Linked DNA regions of Callithrix jacchus. The protein of the gene in region 2 purifies or fractionates together with the protein of the main gene of each other region. This does not show direct contact. Links are inferred from orthologs where the notes say so. Each region holds a gene or a part of one and is shown on either strand. Other genes may lie near its edges. The genes, in order: RALBP1 and AP2A1.

Region 1 (3,810 bases), on a different chromosome or scaffold from region 2:
CATCTAATTTCTATTTCAAAGTTTGGATTTTTTAAGTATACCTTTAATCTGAACAGAGCTGGGACAAAAAAATAACGTTTGGGGTTCTAAAATCAAATTGTTTTGCTTATTGAACAAAAGGAAACTCTAACACACAAGCAAATAATTTTCAAACATTGTATAAGATTTGAAGTCTTCAGTACAATCTGCATTAAGTGCCGTAATTTAGTGATAGTGATTGCTCAGAAGAACACAAAGTCGTTTTTTGTTGTTTTTAATACTTAACACTTTCATCCAATTATTTGAAACAAGCTACATATTAAGGCTGACGGTTTCTACCGGTAAATGCTATCTAAGCTGAACAGCACTTGACAGTGAATACGGTGCTTACATCTGGACTTTGGGATTCCTTATCCTTCGTGAAAACCTTTTAGTGGCATTATGATAAATCTAATTTAGTATTGACAAAATAAAATAACAAAATACAAAATAACACTATTAATTTATTTTTAGATAATCTTTATTTTGTGACAGCAAAGTCAAAAATAATTCCCATTTTCTTACTTTTATGATAATATGAGTAAACCGTGATAACTTTAACCGAAATCCTTGGCAAAGATTTATTCTCTTCCTCATGTATATTTAATTCTTCCCCTTATAGTACCTACCCAACAAATTGTACAAGTAGTCAATCGGAATGTGTGTTTGGTTTGCCTTACTCTGAAACTGTTATCAAAATGTTTTCCTTTTAAAAATTGGACACTCCAAATAAAGCATTCCACAGAAAGAGAGAAAGTGCATACAGGTACACTTCAGTGCAAAAGATACAAGAAAATGTAGATGAATAAATTGAAATGTATAAAATCACTTGAATTGTCTTTCATATTAGCTTAAAATTGGTAAAATCACTTGAATTGTCTTTCATATTAGTTTAAAATTGGATAATCAAGAACTAAAACGTCCAGCAAAAGGTCTTAAAATGAATTAAGTGAGAACTAACATCTCCAGCAAAAAGCAGTATTATTATTAGCACTGGCCGGAAGAGTAGTACAAGCCAGGCTGACTACAGCAAACTGCCACAGGTTAGAGAATAAATGGAAAACTCATCGGAGCAGGAGCTCAGCCCCTAGCTATTGCAATGATGGACAGCAGCTCAGTCTGAATGCTTTTACATACAGAGAAGAGGAGTTCTATGACTATGAATTTCCTAAAAAAATGCAGACTTTAAAGTAGGCCAGAGACAAAAAGAATCCTTTGAACAAAGCTGCAGAAAATTTTCAGAGAAACTTTTACCTAAAACAAAATTACTTTATGGCTACTAAGACCATGTGAGAGAGGCAGCTTGTGTTATTAATGTTTAAATGTTAAAAAATCAATTCAGTAAATTATTCTTAAAAATTAAATATTTGGGCCAGGCGCAGTGGCTCATGCTTGTAATCCCAGCACTTTGGGAGGCTGAGGCAGGCAGATCACGAGGTCAAGAGATCGAGACCATGGTGAAACCCTGTCTCTACTAAAAAAAAAATACAAAAATTAGCTGGGTGTGGTGGCACGCACCTGTGGTCCCAGCTACTCAGGAGGCTGAGGCAGGAGAATTGCCTGAACCCGGGAAGCGGAGGTTGCAGTGAGCCGAGATTGCACCACTGCACTCCAGCCTGGCGCCTGGCGGCAGAGCAAGACTCTGTCTCAAAAAAAAAAAAATCAAATATTTGTTTAAATATATTTATTGAATACTAAGGAGTTATAAACTTAAATTCAATGCCTAATTTATTTCATGTTCTATAAAACAGTAACATTTTAGCCAAAATACTCTTAATAATGGCATGTAATCTAGTGGATTATGTAACAGTTTTCCCAATTATCAAACCTATCTGCTCTTTCTCAACAAAAGTATCAAATCTACCTTCTCAAACTGTGTATGAGCCAATTAAATGAAAAAACTAAGTCTAATCTCTCCATATATTCTATATATGACTTAACAACACCTCATGAAAATACACGTGACCAACAAGTATTATTATTTTTGAGACAAGGTCTGACTCTTGCCTTGGCTGGAATGCAGTAGTACGATCATGGCTCACTGCAGCCTCAAACTAACTCCTGGGCTCAAGTGACTCTCCTGCTTGGGCCAACAATTAATTTTATAAAATAAATCTCTAAACAGAAATTGATAATGTACCAAGAAACTGAATAATGGGAATTTAATAATTTGGAACACAGATGCTGCTACAGGTCAGGGCTTTCATCCTATCCCAGTATAAACATCATACTGCTTTCTAAGAAATAAGTCTTTTTACTTTTAAATAATATACATATTGCTTGATTTAGATACCCAATCAAAACATATTCTTGCCGAGTATAAAAAAATTTAATTTGTATACATATGGGATAAAGATTAATAGAAAATCAATTTTGCTAATGTATGTAACAGCTGCATGTAGCTGACCAAAGCATTCACATATGGGGCTAAACATTTACTACTTCTTGGTCTTTTGGCTAAAGTCAAGTATAGTATCTGTTCTAGGATTTCTGGAGCAGGGAGATGGAACAGAAGCTTGCTTGGACCACTCCACATATTGACCAGGTATTATGATATCTCCAAGAACCATGCACCAAGAAAACAAAAACAAAAACAAAGACCATTTCATGCCTCTTAGCTAAAGAAATATCCATAAATGGGTTTCTTGGCCAAGAAGCTTCCTTCACACAGTTAACCTTCCTTCTCTTGCTAAAGACCCTCATACCACTGAGCCTCTGCTTAGAGAGGAAAGAAAAAAACAAAAGCAGGCATCCAGGCATAGTGGCTGATTATGAGTAATTCCAGCACTTTATGAGGCCAAGGAAGGCAGATCACCTGAGATCAGGAGTTTGAGACCAGCCTGGCCAACATGGTGAAACCCCATCTCTACTAAAAATTCAAAACTCAGCTGGGCATGGTGGCAGGCATCTGTAATCCCAGTACTCAGGAGGCTGAGGCAGGAGAATTGCTTGAACTTGGGGGGCAGGAGAATTGCTTGAACTTGGGAGGCGGAGGCTGCAGTGAGCAAAGATTGCGCCACTGCACTCCAGCTGGGCAACAGAGCGAGACTCTGTCTCAAAAAACAAACAAAAGAAAAAAAAAGTAGGGTCTGAATGCAGTCCTGTTAAGCAATGCTAACAGTACACCTCACTTTGTTTTAGTCCTGATTGCTGCAACCTCTGAACAACTCACATGAAATCCTCCTAACGAAATGGAATATCATAAAAAACCAAACTGCTCAAACACTAAAGAAAGGCTGGGGAGAAGGGTGGATTTTCGTGCAATTGGAAGGATCAAGGAAATGAATAAGGCTTAGGATCCAGGCCAAATTTTCCTCACAACATTTTTTTCTTCCTTTGAAAAATGAAAGTGAAGTTAATTATTAAAAATCACCAAGTGAAGTGCACATTCCCAGTACCTGATACTCTGTAGATGCCTTCGCACTTCATGCCATACTTCTCTACGTAATCTATACATTCACGGAAAACAGCTGGCAGCCGAATGCCATCATACATCATGGTCCTCTCTACTGCATCAGCCAAAGGAATTCCAAAAATGGGTTTGAGATTTGGAACATCAATCTGAGGCACCTCTGGCTCCTGAATTGGCTTTTTCTTTTTCTTCTTTTCCTTCCACTGTTTAACAACATCAGCTGCTGTTAAGTCTTTAGACTTCTTCTCTTTATGTTTTTCTTCTTTGTGCTTTTCTTCTTTATGCTTTTCTTCTTTGGGTTTCTCTTTTATTTTAAAATCCTTCTCCTTCTTTTTAGAGAAGCTGGGCTTCTTGAAAACATGGATTCCCTTGGACCTCTT
Region 2 (4,268 bases):
TCTCAAAAAAAAAAAAGTATCCCCAGCCCACTTCTCACCAATCCCTTCTCACCCCATTAAGCCAGCACTCTCTCTCGCCCAGAGGCCTGCAACGCCCTCCTAATTTCGTTCCCTGCTTCCACTGCTACCTCTAGAATCTGTTCTCACAGCAGCCAGAGGACTTATTTTAAAACATCAATCGGTCACGTCCCTCCTCTGCTCAAAATATTCTCAGGCAGATAAAGGCCAAAGTGCTCACCATGGCCCAGAAAGCCTTTCCCGATCCTGTCCCTCCTCCCCCCTGCTCCTGCCCTCTCCCCCCACACTCCCTCAGCTCCAGCCACACTGACCTTCTCCCTCTCACTCCAACACGTCAGGCATGCGGCAACCTCAGGACCTTTGAATGCACCTCCCTGTGCCAGGACCCCTTTCCTCCAAAATCCACAGGGCTTGCTCCACTTACAGGGCTTCCTCCAGATTTACGGAGCACCCTCCCAATCCTAGTCCTCTCCTGCCCATTTCCTCCCTGTTTTCCTTCACAGCACCACTCAGGGCCTCAGGTTGTATCTTAGAGTGTTCTCTGTGCTTATGTTCTGTCTTCCTCAGGGAAGGGAGCTCCCAAGACCAGGAGTTTTGTTTTGAGACGGAGTTTCGCTTTTGTTGCTCAGCCTGCAGTTCAGTGGCGCGATCTCAGCTCACTGCAAGCTCCGCCTTCCAGGTTCAAGCAATTCTCCTGCCTCAGACTCCCGAATAGCTGGGATTATAAGCGCCCGCCACCAAACTTGGCTAATTTTTGTATTTTTAGTAGAGACGGAGTTTCGCCAGGTTGGCCAGGCCGGTCTTGAACTCCTGACCACAGGTGATCCACCGGCGTTGGCCTCCTAAGCTGCTGGGATTACAGGCCTGAGCCACCACGCCTGGCAAGAACAGGAGTTTCTGTTCACTATTGTCACCCCAGCGCCTAGAACACTGGAGCGATCAAAAAGTATTTGTCAAATGACTGAATGAAGGAATGAGCCTTCAGAGGCAAGATGCTCTAGGAATGAAGTTTGTAGACAAGAAAACATCCTCAAAGAGGTTAAATGACGCATGGAGGGTCACATGACCTCCCGTCACTGGTGGGTAACAGAAGCAGCGCACATCTCCTAACAAGGGCCCCCAGCTACTCCACAACCCCCATCACTCCGCCCCTTGTCGTAACAGCCCACCATCTCTCCATCAACGGATACCCAATCGTGTCCACCCCCTCCTGTTCACTGAGCACCTTCTACATGCCAGATCTTTCCATAACAGTTACATTCTAAAACAACAACAGCAGCCATTGGGTACTTGGCAGAGCTGCTGCTGGGAGCCAATGGAGTAACAAAACAGCCAGGTTCCATCTGGGGCCTGGAATGCATGAAAGGCCTGACTCACAGGCACTGCCACAAGCCCCTCAGGATGATACAATCAGCAGCCTCTCTTGACAGATGAGAAAACCGAGAGGTGAAGTTCCTCACTCAAGGTCACTCGGCTAGGGACTGGTGGTGCTCCCACGCAAACCCAACCGGGGCTGACCCCAGAGCCCATTCCGACACAGCCTCTGAATACTCCTGGCAGCTCCAGTCACCAACAGCCATTCCCAGGAGTTGAGAGCTGACTTGTCACCAGACTTCCCATCATCACGACAACTCTTCCTGGCAGGGACCACTGTCCCCATATTACTGTGGTCAGATAGAAAAGGGCTCAGATCCTAGCCTATTCTGCTTCCTGACCCCTGACCTCTCTCTGGGATTAGACCTACCCTATTCCCAGCTTTCCAGATCTCTGCCCTCAAGTCCTTCAGGGCCCCATGCCGTCCTGGAGGTCTAGGCGCTCCGCTCCCTCTTCTGCCCTTCCCCCAAACCCCCACTCTATAACGTCTCCTTTCCAGGGCAGCTTCCCTGTCACAGGTTTTCCCAACACCTTACACCTGCAGCTCCTTTCCTCTGCCCTCCTTGGGTCCCTCCTTCTCCCTCAGCGGCCCCTCTGGCCCCCTCCACACTGCCTTCCATGTCTAAGCAATCTCCCATCCTGAAGCCCCACTATCCCTCACCAGGGTGTCCTTATAGTCTGGCCCTCCCATCATCTCCCTGCCCTGAACCCGAGGACTTTCAACCACTCTCAGGCCTCCTCTATACCACTGGCCGGGAGCCTCAGTGACCTATCTAACCACCCCCCCATATGACACCCCCATCCCAGGCCCTCAAGCCTTCTCAATTAGGCTTCGGGCGTTCCACTTCCTACAGGTCCCCTCTGGCTTCCTCCCATTCCATCGCTCCACAGGGTACCTCCCGCCCTCCCCCCACCCCGCGCCATGCACTTCTTTCCCTTCCTCTCTACGTTAGGGCTCCTTCTAACCCCATCGTTTGTACGATCCCCCAGCCTTTCAGTCTTTCCCAAGGGACACCTCTATGCTCTCATCCCCGGGACCTCATTGGCCTCCTCCCCTTTCCAGCACCCCCGGACCCCTCTAGTTACTCCGTGTCGTCACCTCAAGAGGCACTCTATGACACCCCAAGCCCCTGCGTGACCCCCACCTTAAAGTTCCTCCCGGGGCCCATCTATACTCGCCCTCTACAGCCGCAAAGGCTTTTGATCCCCCGGGTCCCTCTGTGACCCCCAAACCCCTTAATTTAAGGCTCCCCCCTCCCCCGCGTCTCCAGTGTCCCCCGGCCGCGCGCTCACAGTTCCGGATGTCGGAGATGAACACAGCGAGTCCCCGCATCCCATCGCCCTTGGACACGGCCGGCATGATGGCAGTGGTGTCGGCTCCAGGCCTGGCCGGACAGGGCACAGCGCAGCGGGGGCTGGCAGGCGGGGACCAGGCGGAATGGACCCCAGGCAGCGCCGAAGAGCCAAGCCGGCCGCGGGGAGGGCTGACTGGCGGGCGGGCGGGCGGGCTGGCAGGCCGTGGCACCGCCCACCTGCCCCTCCCCTCTACCCGCCTTCCGGAGCTTTCAGCCGCCTATTGGTAAGAGCTTCTGCCGCTCAGACGCGGGTTTAATTCCCTACTTTTTCTCTCATTGGCCGCTAAGCAAAGGCACGACGCTGCGATTGGCCCAGTGCTCCGCTATTTCCGTTCGGGAGCGGGGAGGGAAGAGGAGGCGTTGCCCGAGAGACGGGCGGGGTTCGATTGCGTAAAATGGACCCGCCCCTTCCGCGCGGCCAAGTCAAACACTGATTGGATCTAGCCGGTCTCCAAGGAGGGAGGGAGGGACGTGACGGAAGGCGGGGAAAGGGCCCTGGGAGGCGGGACTGAGGTTGACCGAGACCAATGAGCGGGTAAACCTCCCCCGCAGGAGTCACGGATTGGTGAGATCTGTCCTACTTCCACCCTCTATTGGGCGGCTTTGGGGGGCGGGCGGAAGGCGAAGAGCAGTAGAAGGAAAGAAGAGGGTGTCACTCCGCTCGGCTGGGATAGGTGGAGCGACGCCTGCAATTCCATGCAGCAGAGAAGGAGTTGGGCGGGGCAAGAGAGCGTTCAGTGTTTACTGCGCAAGCGTCTCCGTGTTCCCTTTCTGCCTTCACTGTCACCCCCGACTGCTAAAATCCTCTTCGAGGAAGCCTTCCTCCCCTCCCCCCTTCTCTGCAGCCAACGTGTCGGGACTTGTTTTGTCAGGAGACCCAGAATCTCAGAGTGAAAAACAGTAATTCACGGCTAGTCCCATTAAGCAGAGATTAAATCATAGGTCGAGAGGGTGAATGACTTGCCCAGGGCCACACAACTTGGAAGTGAAAGAACAGAAATAAATGTAGACCATATCTTGGCTTTCAACTATTTTTCAACATATGTTGCCTTTTTTTTTGGGTCCAACCACAATGTCTCTCGGGCAGCCTCCATTGTAGCAGATATCAAACCAAAATTGATTCTCTCTTCCAGACTAGGAACTCCTGGGCAAGAATGGGACCTGGTCTTGAAGAGTTTCAACAACATTTGTTAAAGGAAGGCATGGGTGAATCTGCTTTGGCCCAACCCCAGCCTCAATCCCCTACCCTCAGCTCCCCAGAGTCTTTGGTAAACTGGCTTTGGGGAAGGCAAAACGGCCAGAACTCCCAACGCCCAGGGCAATTGAGAAATTTGGGACAAAGGGAACTGGAAGAGTCCATTTCTGTCACCTGTGGGGAAAGAACTCCCCCCCCCCACCTCGCCCCCGCCACCAGCCTTTTCTAATCTCAGAAGTCAAGCATTCCTGGAATGAGTCTTGGGGGTGTGTCCTGGATCTTTGGAATGGCCTCTCTGAATCCTGGGAGCCGGAAAGGAGGTTAAG

What was found.
Region 1: the proteins of AP2A1 (region 2) and RALBP1 purify together in Homo sapiens (affinity purification with mass spectrometry; 5 studies listed by BioGRID and IntAct, with this or other methods). This does not show direct contact. The link is inferred for Callithrix jacchus from reciprocal best matches to the Homo sapiens genes AP2A1 and RALBP1.

The regions. Positions count from the first base shown.
Region 1 is NC_133514.1:53,427,602-53,431,411, forward strand, and holds part of RALBP1 (ralA-binding protein 1), read right to left. Parts: coding exon 3,417-3,810; intron 2,598-3,416; exon of another isoform or gene 2,456-2,597; intron 1-2,455. UniProt on the Homo sapiens protein: Multifunctional protein that functions as a downstream effector of RALA and RALB. As a GTPase-activating protein/GAP can inactivate CDC42 and RAC1 by stimulating their GTPase activity.
Region 2 is NC_133523.1:43,536,674-43,540,941, reverse strand, and holds the start of AP2A1 (AP-2 complex subunit alpha-1), read right to left. Parts: upstream 2,883-4,268; 5' UTR 2,753-2,882; coding exon 2,686-2,752; intron 1-2,685.